Linked DNA regions of Saccharomyces cerevisiae S288C. Changing the gene in region 1 together with any one later gene gives a genetic interaction. Each region holds a gene or a part of one and is shown on either strand. Other genes may lie near its edges.

What was found.
Region 2: mutations in PCA1 (region 1) and YOL163W together harm fitness more than expected from each alone (negative genetic interaction), as found in Saccharomyces cerevisiae (2 studies listed by BioGRID).

What each region holds. Positions count from the first base shown.
Region 1 is NC_001134.8:789,934-798,338, reverse strand, and holds PCA1 (cation-transporting P-type ATPase PCA1), read right to left. Parts: upstream 5,491-8,405; coding exon 1,840-5,490; downstream 1-1,839. Other genes in the region: PHO89 (Pho89p), read left to right, coding at 1-1,541; SUL1 (sulfate permease), read right to left, coding at 6,525-8,405.
Region 2 is NC_001147.6:7,786-10,848, reverse strand, and holds YOL163W (uncharacterized protein), read right to left. Parts: upstream 1,253-3,063; coding exon 743-1,252; downstream 1-742. Other genes in the region: YOL162W (uncharacterized protein), read right to left, coding at 83-730; BDS1 (sulfuric ester hydrolase), read right to left, coding at 2,734-3,063.

The DNA.
Region 1 (8,405 bases):
CAGGCGCAAGAGTTTCTGGTACTATCAAGAACAACATTATAGATTCCTCCATTTTTACCAACGACCCCGCTGTTTTAATGCTTACTATGACCAGTGCTTTGATTGGCTCGTCTTGTTGGTTAACATTTGCTACTGCAATCGGAATGCCAGTTTCTACTACACATTCCATTGTTGGTGGTACAATTGGCGCTGGGATTGCAGCCGGTGGAGCTAACGGTGTCGTTTGGGGTTGGAGTGGTGTTTCTCAAATTATTGCGTCATGGTTCATTGCTCCGATTTTGGCAGGCGCGATCGCAGCTATAGTTTTTTCAATTTCTAGGTTTTCTGTCCTTGAAGTTAAGTCTTTGGAAAGATCGATTAAGAATGCTTTACTGCTGGTTGGTGTTTTAGTATTCGCCACTTTCTCTATCTTAACAATGTTGATTGTCTGGAAGGGTTCTCCAAACCTACACTTGGACGATTTATCTGAAACTGAAACTGCCGTATCTATTGTTCTCACAGGTGCAATTGCTTCGATCGTTTACTTCATCTTTTTCTACCCATTCTACAGAAGAAAAGTTTTGGACCAAGATTGGACACTAAAGTTGATTGATATTTTCAGAGGTCCATCTTTTTACTTTAAGTCCACTGATGATATCCCACCAATGCCAGAAGGCCATCAATTAACAATCGATTATTACGAGGGCAGAAGAAATCTTGGAACAACTGTTTCTGTTGAAGACGAAGAAAATAAGGCAGCGAGTAATTCTAATGATTCCGTCAAAAACAAAGAAGACATCCAGGAAGTGGACCTGGTTAGAACTGAAACTGAACCAGAAACAAAGTTGTCAACGAAACAATATTGGTGGTCATTATTAAAGCAAGGACCTAAAAAATGGCCCTTATTGTTCTGGTTAGTAATCTCTCATGGTTGGACTCAAGACGTCATTCATGCTCAAGTTAATGATAGAGATATGTTATCTGGTGACCTGAAAGGAATGTACGAAAGATCTAAATTTTACGACAATAGAGTAGAATATATCTATTCGGTTCTCCAAGCCATTACTGCAGCCACTATGTCTTTTGCTCATGGAGCTAATGACGTTGCCAACGCTACTGGTCCTTTGTCTGCTGTGTATGTGATCTGGAAAACTAACACTATTGGGGCAAAGTCCGAAGTTCCCGTGTGGGTTCTGGCTTATGGTGGTGTTGCCTTAGTTATTGGTTGCTGGACTTATGGTTACAATATTATCAAAAATCTAGGTAATAAGATGATTTTGCAGTCGCCATCAAGAGGCTTTTCAATTGAACTAGCTGTTGCTATTACTACTGTCATGGCTACCCAATTAGGTATTCCTACCTCAACAACCCAGATCGCCGTTGGTGGTATTGTCGCTGTTGGTTTATGTAACAAGGATCTCAAATCAGTTAATTGGAGAATGGTAGCCTGGTGTTATTCTGGTTGGTTTTTAACTTTACCAATTGCTGGTTTGATTGCCGGTATCATAAATGGTATCATTTTGAATGCTCCTCGCTTTGGTGTGGAATACCAAATGACATAATCATAATGTGTTTCGGTTATGAATACAGTTTTACAACATTAGGTAGAACTTTTATTGCTCAGTGACTTTAAAGTTAAAACATTTCTAATTTAAAACCTTAAAGATGCATTAATTTTTTTCTAATTTATCAGTTGATCTGCAATTACCTGGCATGGCTATGTGTATTTTTTTTTTTTATGAATTCCATCATATTAAATAGAAAACTAAACTAAATAATAAATAGAGTATTACAGAGTCGTCAAAAAAAAAAAAGAAAAGAAAAAAGAAAATCTACAATCAAATAGCAGCAGTACCTGGACTAAATCTTTGCATAACGCAGAAGTATAGCTACAAAAATTACAGGGAGGATACTAACTAGTTCCCCTAAACCCGCATACTCTGGTGGAATATGAAAGTCAACAAAGGCACCAGCCGCCAAAAGGATAGCAAATAAGTTGTAAGTAAAACTCCATAAGAAATTCAATTTGACCCTAAACATGGCCTTTTGACTTACAGTTATCATAGTCAAAATATTGTTGAGCTTTGGCTTTAACATAACTACATCAGCAGCTAGCTTGGCAACCTCACTTCCCTCATTGATATGAACTCCAATCGTTGCTTGAGTCAAACCAATTGCGTCGTTTGTTCCGTCACCGCAAAAAACAACAACCGGTCTTTTTGACTGCGAAGAACTATCGCAATTTCTTCCTTCGACAATATCCTTAATATATTCACTCTTTTCTGCAGGCGTTGCGTGAGAACGAATATTGGAGCTTTCAATTCCAAGACGGGCTGCCATAGAACGAACGGCTCCATCGTCATCCCCTGATAAAATGTGTAGTGAAATCCCTCTTTGGCGTAACAAGTTAATAGTGGAGACAGCATCTGCCCGTAAAGAGTCCTCTAATGCATAAACTGCAGTGACTGAACCATTAACACTAAAACAGAATACAGAATATCCTTGTTCAAGGGCTTTTCGAACGTCAGGATCATTGTTATGACCAAGCCAACGACAGTTCCCTCCTTGTAACTTCAAACCAGAGTATGATGTTCCTTCTACCCGCTTACCAGTCACAGCTTTTGTATTAGAAACATTTTGAGCAGAAACACCTTTTTCTTTGAGATAGGATGCTATTGCCATGGAAACTGGGTGTTTTATTCCTTCAGTTAATCCAAGCAACAAAGATTGAGAATTATGACGATCACCCCTAACAGTTTCATGTACTACAGTAAGTTTTCCTTCAGTTAGGGTACCCGTTTTATCGAAGACAACATGCGAAGTGTTGTGAGCAACTTCTATACTCTCTGCTGATTTGAAGATTACCCCTCTTTTCGCAGCGACGCCACTTGCAATAACAAATACGATAGGAACGGCAAGTCCAATCACGCAGGGACACGAAACGATAAGTACCGTAATGGCATATATAATGGCCTGAATTACGGCATCGGAGCGGGATTGCTTTTCCACACGGATTCCAACCGCTATCCAAACGCAAAAGGTGACGACAGTGATTCCAATGATAGTTGGCACGAAATAACTTGCAATTTTATCAGCGATATTTTGGATCTTTGGCTTAGTTAATTTTGCTTCATCAACCATCGTGGCTATGGTACTAATAGTATTGTTCCCTGGAAGCTTGCTCAGCTTCACAAACAAAGTACCAGTGCCATTCACCGATCCTGCAACAACAATTGATTGACACTTTTTCGGGACTGGCATAGATTCACCTGTGATTAACGCTTCGTCGACTTCAGAAGACCCAGAAATGACTGTTCCATCAGTTGGGATTCTTGAATCAGGTAAAACCTTAAAAATATCGCCATATTGGAGAAGTCTAATATTAATTTCCGTCTCTTTACCAGTTTTATCCACCAGAATAGCAGAAGAGGCCTGTAAGGAACGTACTGATATTGACTTTACAGCCCTATGTCTAGCTAGTTCACTCACAAAGCGACCAACCATGATGAGAGTTACAAGCAAAGAGCTGGTTTCAAAAAACTGCTCCGTAGATAACGGGCGTCCAACAACGAAATATCCAAATGATACAATCGAAAATATGTAGGCAGCGCTAGTGCTTAAAACTATTAGTAGATCCATTTCAATGAGCCTGGAAAATATCAAACTCTTCAAGGCATTTAAGTAAAACGGTCCTGCAATAACAAATTGAATAATAGTTGCTAGCACCATTGACGCGGAGATAGTGGAAATTTTTTCACGAAGCTGTGGAGCCCAAGCCATCACGAGAATCGGGATCGTCAATATTATGGATAAAGCGGTCGTGCAGCCTACACGAACTAAATGCTTCCTTCCCACTTCAATGGTTGGATGACAACTGAATGGAGCAATACTAACAGGCACGCTCCATCCTTCATTGACAAGATCTCTGGCACCTATAACCTTTGGGTCAAAGTAAATACGAATGATATTTCTCTCAACAATTTTCAGCTCTGTGACACCTTGTGGCCATTCCTCATTAATAAAATCTTTTGCTGCATAAGGAACAACAACATCTATAGTTGAACCATGATTTGAAATCTGTTCGTACTTGAATTCAGTAGTTTTGCTCAAGTGCTTGATAACATCCTTGACAGATCCCTGAGCAAGATCCAGATTAAATTCAGCTTGCGATAATATTAAACTGGTCTTCAAACCGTGAACACATTTGAGCGCGCCAAATGATTTCTTAAGTTTTGATTCACAACCAGTACAGGACATTCCTGAAACACTAAGAACAATGTGCTCGGTACCGGTAGATCCTGCCTCAAGATTAAGATGATTTTCAATTGGTTCCATTGATACGATTCTTGAAATTTCACTCGAAGAGTGTCCAGAAATAGTTGAGGTAACAGCACAATCCTTCATTTTAGTGCAACAACTTTTAGAACAAACAAAATCAGCATGGCCATTGTCATTGCTCAACCTTTCTTTGTCTCCATGGGTCTTTTTCTTTGTTAAACATCCAGAACTGTTGCGGTAGGAGTATTTTGTCTTTTTAGAAGCACCCTCCCCGCTACAAAAACGCACCTTTGGGAGACAACAAGATTCTTTTCCCAAAGTACGCAAATAGTTACAGATACAACCTAAATTTTTCAAAATTGAGGAGTAACGATTGTACATTCTAGAGTACTGTTCGCTGAAGAACTTCTCGCTTAAACTGTCGGTAGAGCTACTCCCAGAAATTCCAACATTGGTGCTACCTTTAAAAGTCCTCTTTTCACAGCTACGAGATGCAATCCGCTCAACACATGAAATGTTGCAGCACTCAGGCTTACTGGAAACCTCAATTTTCTGTCTGCTAACTTTACAACTTCTTTTCTTGAGTGTAGAGTCACTTGATTCGATGCAAAGCCTACCCTTCCCTGTGTGTTGGTTGGAATTGGTATTGCAGCGAGTTGTCTCTCTAATATCATGAATAGATTGCAGACCTTCAGATTTGCTTGGAACAACTTCAAAGCTGGTCAGCAATTGTTCTTTAGAAGATACAGCTTCGCAGCTGCCTGTAACTTCCTCGACCATCACTGAAGAATCTCTAACGCAGCATCCATCAACACAGGATTCATTGGTGTGGTCACCACCTGTTTGAGCATCGCCGCAACAGCTGTCCACATCCAAGCCAGTCTCAGTGTCGTTCACTTTCTCAGCACAACATTCATCTACACGGGATTCATTGGTGTGATCACCACCGGTTTCAGCATCGTCTACATCTAACCCAGCCTTAGTCCTATTCTCGCCATGATGGCATATCTGCTCAGTCTCACTCAAACATTCCTGAGGAGTAATTTTGGGCCGATTGGTACAGTCTCGCTGGGAGACCAATCCCAGATTGTCATTAGCATGCATTTCTATGGATCTACGATGACACTCGCCTCTATTATCTTGCATAGCATCTATTGATATGTTCTCGCTATTTACCACTCCATACTCGCCATCGCTGGTACCTAAACCGGAGAAGAGTTTTTCCGGCTTCATCGTTATCAGCAGCTTTGGGCTCTTTCATTGTATAAATCCTGGAAGCATCTCGAAAATATCTTGCTTTTATATTTATAATTGCACCTTATTTATGCCAAGTGTAGGCTTTTCATGCGATTTTAAAGAAAAATTCCTTGTTGGCGCCTAAATTTTGATTACCTAACCCATACATTCGTTCAACCTTATATTTTTAGAAAGGCCTGTTATCAGATCATTTTCCGAAAACTCTTCAGAACCAATTTCAAAAAGACAACTATTTGACACTTTGTTGGTTTTCTTCAAAACAGTGATGGATTCATCCGCTCGAGGAGCTAAAATGGGGAATGAATTCCTTCCAAATAGAAATAGTACTTACTTCATTGTATTGTTGGAAAATATAAATCGATATTAACAATAAGAAAATTATTCCATTATTGATTTATGAGATTAAAATCACACAGCCTACATACAACTCAATAACGTTATCTGCCTTGCAAAACTGCCTCTGTATATATATCGATGATCTTCAAAATATACTATTTTAAGAAGTGTTTTAATTGAAGGATTAAAGTACAGGGTAACTTTTTAAAATTCATTGTATTGCTAAAATAGTATTTTTCTTTTCAGATTCATAACAAAACATAATTTCTTCCACATTAGGAGAGACAAGCCGTCCAAACTCTTTCCGCCTAAAAACCATGAAATAAATTCAAAAAAAATTAGGAAAATGTTGCTCTATCTAGCATAAGCTTAATACTTAAATGCATTTTTATTTTTATTTTTGTATTTTCAAAGGACATTTGTAGAAAATAGGCTCAAGCTCAAGTTAACTTCTAGACCATGTCTTTTCAGCGCCTTAAACTACTGAAAACGGCCCTTTTCGTGTACTAATGCTTTCAGGAAATTATAAAATTTATTTTTACTTTCGCCATTCAACATACTCAAAATAATAAATATTCCAGCTATTTGATGGTAATCTACATTAATAACACAATTATCTTTTCATGTATAACTAAAAACAGGGGGGGTAATTAAAGTACTTACTATCTACTACACTAAACGTCCCATTTAGAAAAATCGGGTATATCGATATGAAAAAACGGTAAATTTGTCCCAGTTGCAGCACATAATGTTTCATAGTTACTGTAAGATGTGCTTATACGGCTGTCTTCATCAGTATAATCCACATCATCCTTCAAAACTTTTGCAACGTGAAAACTAGAATGGCCAGCGATAATAGAGTCGTCACTATATTCCTCATTTGTAGTTCCGAATTTAACACTCAAAAGACTTCTTTTGATCCATGGAGATATAATTCCGGCAAAATGGAATTCGACTTGTCTATCCGCATACCTATTCACAGCTTTTCTCAGATCAACCAGGCTTTGAACAGCGGTTGAATCCACTTGAGCAACTTGGGAAAAATCCAGGCAGACGACTTTCAGTAGCGGCTTTTCATATGTTTCTCCGTTACTGCTTCCATTCGATATCGGTAGGTCACTATTCGTTGTTGCTGAATGACGTTTAAATTTAAATAGTGATTTCAAAGAATCTGGCATTTTCCATTCACCAGGATCATTCCATGGACGGTCTGACTTTTTCCTTAAGGTTATAAGTTGGCCTCGCCTTGTTTCTTCCTTAATACGATCAAATATAATGTCATAATGCCTTGAGCAGTTCACGTAAGTAAAGCTATCACCCAAACGATAGACTATGACACCTGGTGGAGGAGGCCGAACTGTGGTATTGATATTCAATTCTCTTGAGTATCCATGATCGAACGGAACCCACTTTACGCTAAACTTATACTCTGGGGCTGGTAAAACCTCAACAGTAGACTTAACCTGTTTATTCAGTTCATTAGGTAATTCATTAGATGATATCACAGCATCAATATCCTCTTGTACTGTTGGGTTCAATACTTCTGCCACCTCAACACGACCAAGGAATTTACCAGCAGGGAAAGCCTGTTTCAATAGTAACATTGCACATGACCAACACATTGCAAAATATATACCATTTTCAATGGATGAAAATACTGTGATGAACACTGTAACGATAAATGAGATACAATCTAACGGGTTGGTCTTCCAGAAGGTCCAGGTGGTTTTGTAAGAAGTCAGCAAATCAGAAACAGCATGAATAATAACCGCCGATAGTGTCGCTTTAGGAATGAAAAAGAAGGCGTCAGTTAAACAATAAAGTGCTAATAGAACGCAACCGCCAGTGAATACCCCAGAAAACGGAGTGCGCACGTTACATTTTGCTTTCAAAGCAGATCTGGAAAATGACCCAGTTGCTGGATATGAGTGAAAAAATGTCCCTATCAAATTTGTCACACCAATCGCAATAAGTTCTTGGTCAGGGACAACCTTGTAGTCGTTAATTCTACCAAAGGATTTTGAAATAGCGATGTGTTCTAACACCAGAACGATAATTGAAGCAGGTATTTCTGAACTCATATTAGATAGCAGACCGTCTGGGATTTTCATAACTCCCACCTCATTTAAGCCCGAGGGAACTGTACCCAGAATACTGATTGGACGGTCTTTTGAAGATTTGTTTCTTGTTATGCTCCACGATATGGCAGTAAAAACTACTATGACGACGGCATTTCTCATAGCTTGTGCATAGAAATAGAAGGATTTCAGTCTATTTGCTACCTTTGGTTGATTTCGATAATATCTATCTGCCAAAGTTATACCAAATGTACCACACCACCATTTCCATACATAGAGGATTACCAACGGAATCAAGCCAAAAACGGCGTCTAACTTTGTGTTTGGTAAATGTTTCAGAGTGTTAATTACAACCTTATACGTTGCTTCTCTGGTATTCACTAATGAGTTGTATCCCATGAGAGCCGGAATTTGACCCCAGATGATGTTAAATGCGGAACCGGTCATGAAGCCAGCAACAGCATTTAGAGAAATAAG
Region 2 (3,063 bases), on another chromosome or scaffold:
GTATAGAACATTAAATGAAAAAAATGATTCACAAACTTAAAAAATACATAACATGGAGATTGTATCCATATTTCTACATAGTTCAGTGATAGAATCTAAAATCGAGTCTACGTGAACCAGCATCACTAGTAGTACTTAGATAGTGGTCTTTTTCCTCTTCTGACATTGCATTCCACCTCTTATCCCTCTGCTTGTTGATATAGACATAAATCAATTTGCTACCAATTAATATTGGAAACATAAAAAGTGCCAAACCAAAAAGAACTCCATTTCCCTTACGATAGAGTGGGGCATCGCTTTTCGCATAAATGTTTGAGGATATGATGAGACCTGCTTGCACGAACATATTGTACAAGCAAGTAGATACTGTTCTTGTTTTAACTGATTGGGAGTTTCTAGAACACAAGGATACACAAATTGCATGGATATACGGATTATCTAATATTAAGGTAATAATTGCATAAGTTCCCCATTTATTAAACATTGTACCTTTCCAAAAGCGAAGAACTGCAAGAAGAGGAACAGTGTACAACGGTTGTAACAGACTCAAACCTAGCCTGTTATTACATTTTTCTGTCGACCATGTTAAACCAAACAGCAGGAGAATATGAAGAACAAAGTTAGGAATAGCTAGCAGGTTGGCTTGAAAGGTTGTGAAACCGATACTTCTCAATACCAAAGTCAGGTATGTGGCCAAAACGTTCGTAGGGATATAAGCCAAAAGGCCCATCAAGTAGATAGGCTATATATAGTAATCTGTTATCCCCTGCCATAACATTTTAAGTGACATACCTTGCCTATTGTTCATATCCCCTTTTGTCGGATCATCTCTCAGAATCTTGTTTACGATGATTTTTTCTTCCCTCTCAGTGAACCATCCTTTCTTGCTCCAAGGTTTCTTCGTTTGAACTACGGAGGGTACCATCAAGAAGTATGCACTGATACCGATGACTAAAGTGAAAATTCTTTCTATCAAAAAAAGCCATTGCCACCCTGCCATGCCACCTATCCCTCTCATGTGAAAAACCCCGAAGGCCACAATTGAAGTGATGATTTGTGTTAGAGATAGTGTCACCCAGAAGAACGACAGTCTTATTGACAATTCTGAAGAGCTGTAGAAGTACGACATCCAGAGAACCAAATCAGCCACAAAACCACCTTCAAATAGGCCCATAAGTGCTCTACATGTATAGAAAGAACTCTTCCCTGTCATTTTGCATTGCAACGTAGCCACTAGGGACCACGCTATCATTTGCAGAGGAATCCAACTATCAGCTCCTAGTTTCTTCGAAATGAGTTGTGAGGGTAATTCTGCACACAAGAAAGTCAAGTAGAATATGGTGTTTCCAACGTTATAATTGTTAGCATTTAAACCCAAATCATGCAATAAGTTATCGGCGACCGCTTGTGACAAATTACCTCGATCAATCTGCAAGGCCACAAATAGGAAACATGAAAGGGGAGTAACATGCCAGTCTAACTTTCTCACTACTTTTTATTCTTCTTTCTTAGTCCATTCAAATGTTGTATCAAATCTTTCAAGACATTCATACTTAGTGGACTCGTACAACTGTCTATAATACTTTTCCACAGCAGGATTTAAAAAGGGGTTTTCAGGCTTTCCAGAGAGTTGTCGGTATTGGGAATGTTCACCAATGAATAGAGAGGTTTATCAGAAAGGGACTCCTCTAACTGAGTAACTGTAGTTTCTACAGAGGCTTTTTCAGGCTTGTACTCAAACATAAATACGAAACAAAGTGTTTAGAGAGTGCTATATTAATTTGTGTCTGAAATAGTACGTTTATATACTAAGTATATTGGCTCAGGCTGCCTTCGGTTATCAGCAGTGTCAATAAAGATTTACATATCTGTGTAATGGATAAAAAACTCTATGACACCCCGATTGCTGTTGAATAGTCTAGGTGAGTATATTATCTTCAGCAGATGGCTTTTCCATCAGAGCCATTGTGAAGAAATCGGAGGAAAATTGTGGTCTATTCACAATGACAAGCGGTGAGCGTCACCCTAAAGAACACCGAAACTCGGCGAGCTGCCAGATAAGTTCTCTTTGTTTTGTCTTAGCTTGTGGCGCAGGGTCCTCTGAGTATTCTCTTACATCGCGCCACAATATACGCCACAAGCCCGAAACAGTTGTAATCACTATGAGTTTGTATTCCACCGTTAGTGTGAATCTATCTTTCCACTATTAGCTGGAATGTCGATGAAAACCAGGTGATGGAAAGTAGATGGTCTGAAACTACCATTTTGAAGAACGCAAACTTTATCGAAGTAAATCGAAACGGCAGATTCATTTGAATTTGAGATAACTTTAAATTTCAATTCACAATAGTAAATGTTATTAGGAAAACAGAATATACGAAAAGCTCTCTTCGGAAGTATAGGTGACTGTAAATAGAAACCTGTAGCTCCACCAAAGTATTATAGATTACTGTGTCTTCCTTTTTTAAACACTCTGATTCATTAGTTTCACTGTATATTAATCCGTACTTTTCCAATTGTAGTAAATACGATAACACCTCGAACCACACTTTACAAGCTTTATAACTTATATCATTCTCGATATCGTATATGATAATCAGTGGGCCAGGAATGATTTCTCTTCTTCACAAAAGGCCTCGTATTGAAGAAATACTATTGAAAAATTATATAATATAGTGGATAAAAAAGTTGGCATCTAAAAATCAAGTTTCTCGCCGATTTCTGATAATATATTCAAGTGCTTCCCCCCATAGGCTCAACGACGGGAAAGGACTGGTCGAAGTCGTCAAACAACTTCAACAGCTCTTCAATTCTGAGTCGATTACCCTCTATTTCGACTTCTTTTGATCTTAAAAAATCAACCATAGTAATTTCATTGGCCAATAAAGCTTCAAATGTAGTTCTTTTGAGAGTAATTGTTGCATCTGCATCTGTCTGCCAGCCCTGAATGTAGGTCAGGGCACAGTTTTCGAGAGTGATCACGAACCGTTCATTTGAATTAATGAAACACCAATTACTAACGATAATTTTACCTTCTGCTTTCGTAGCGTTCAATCTCACAGC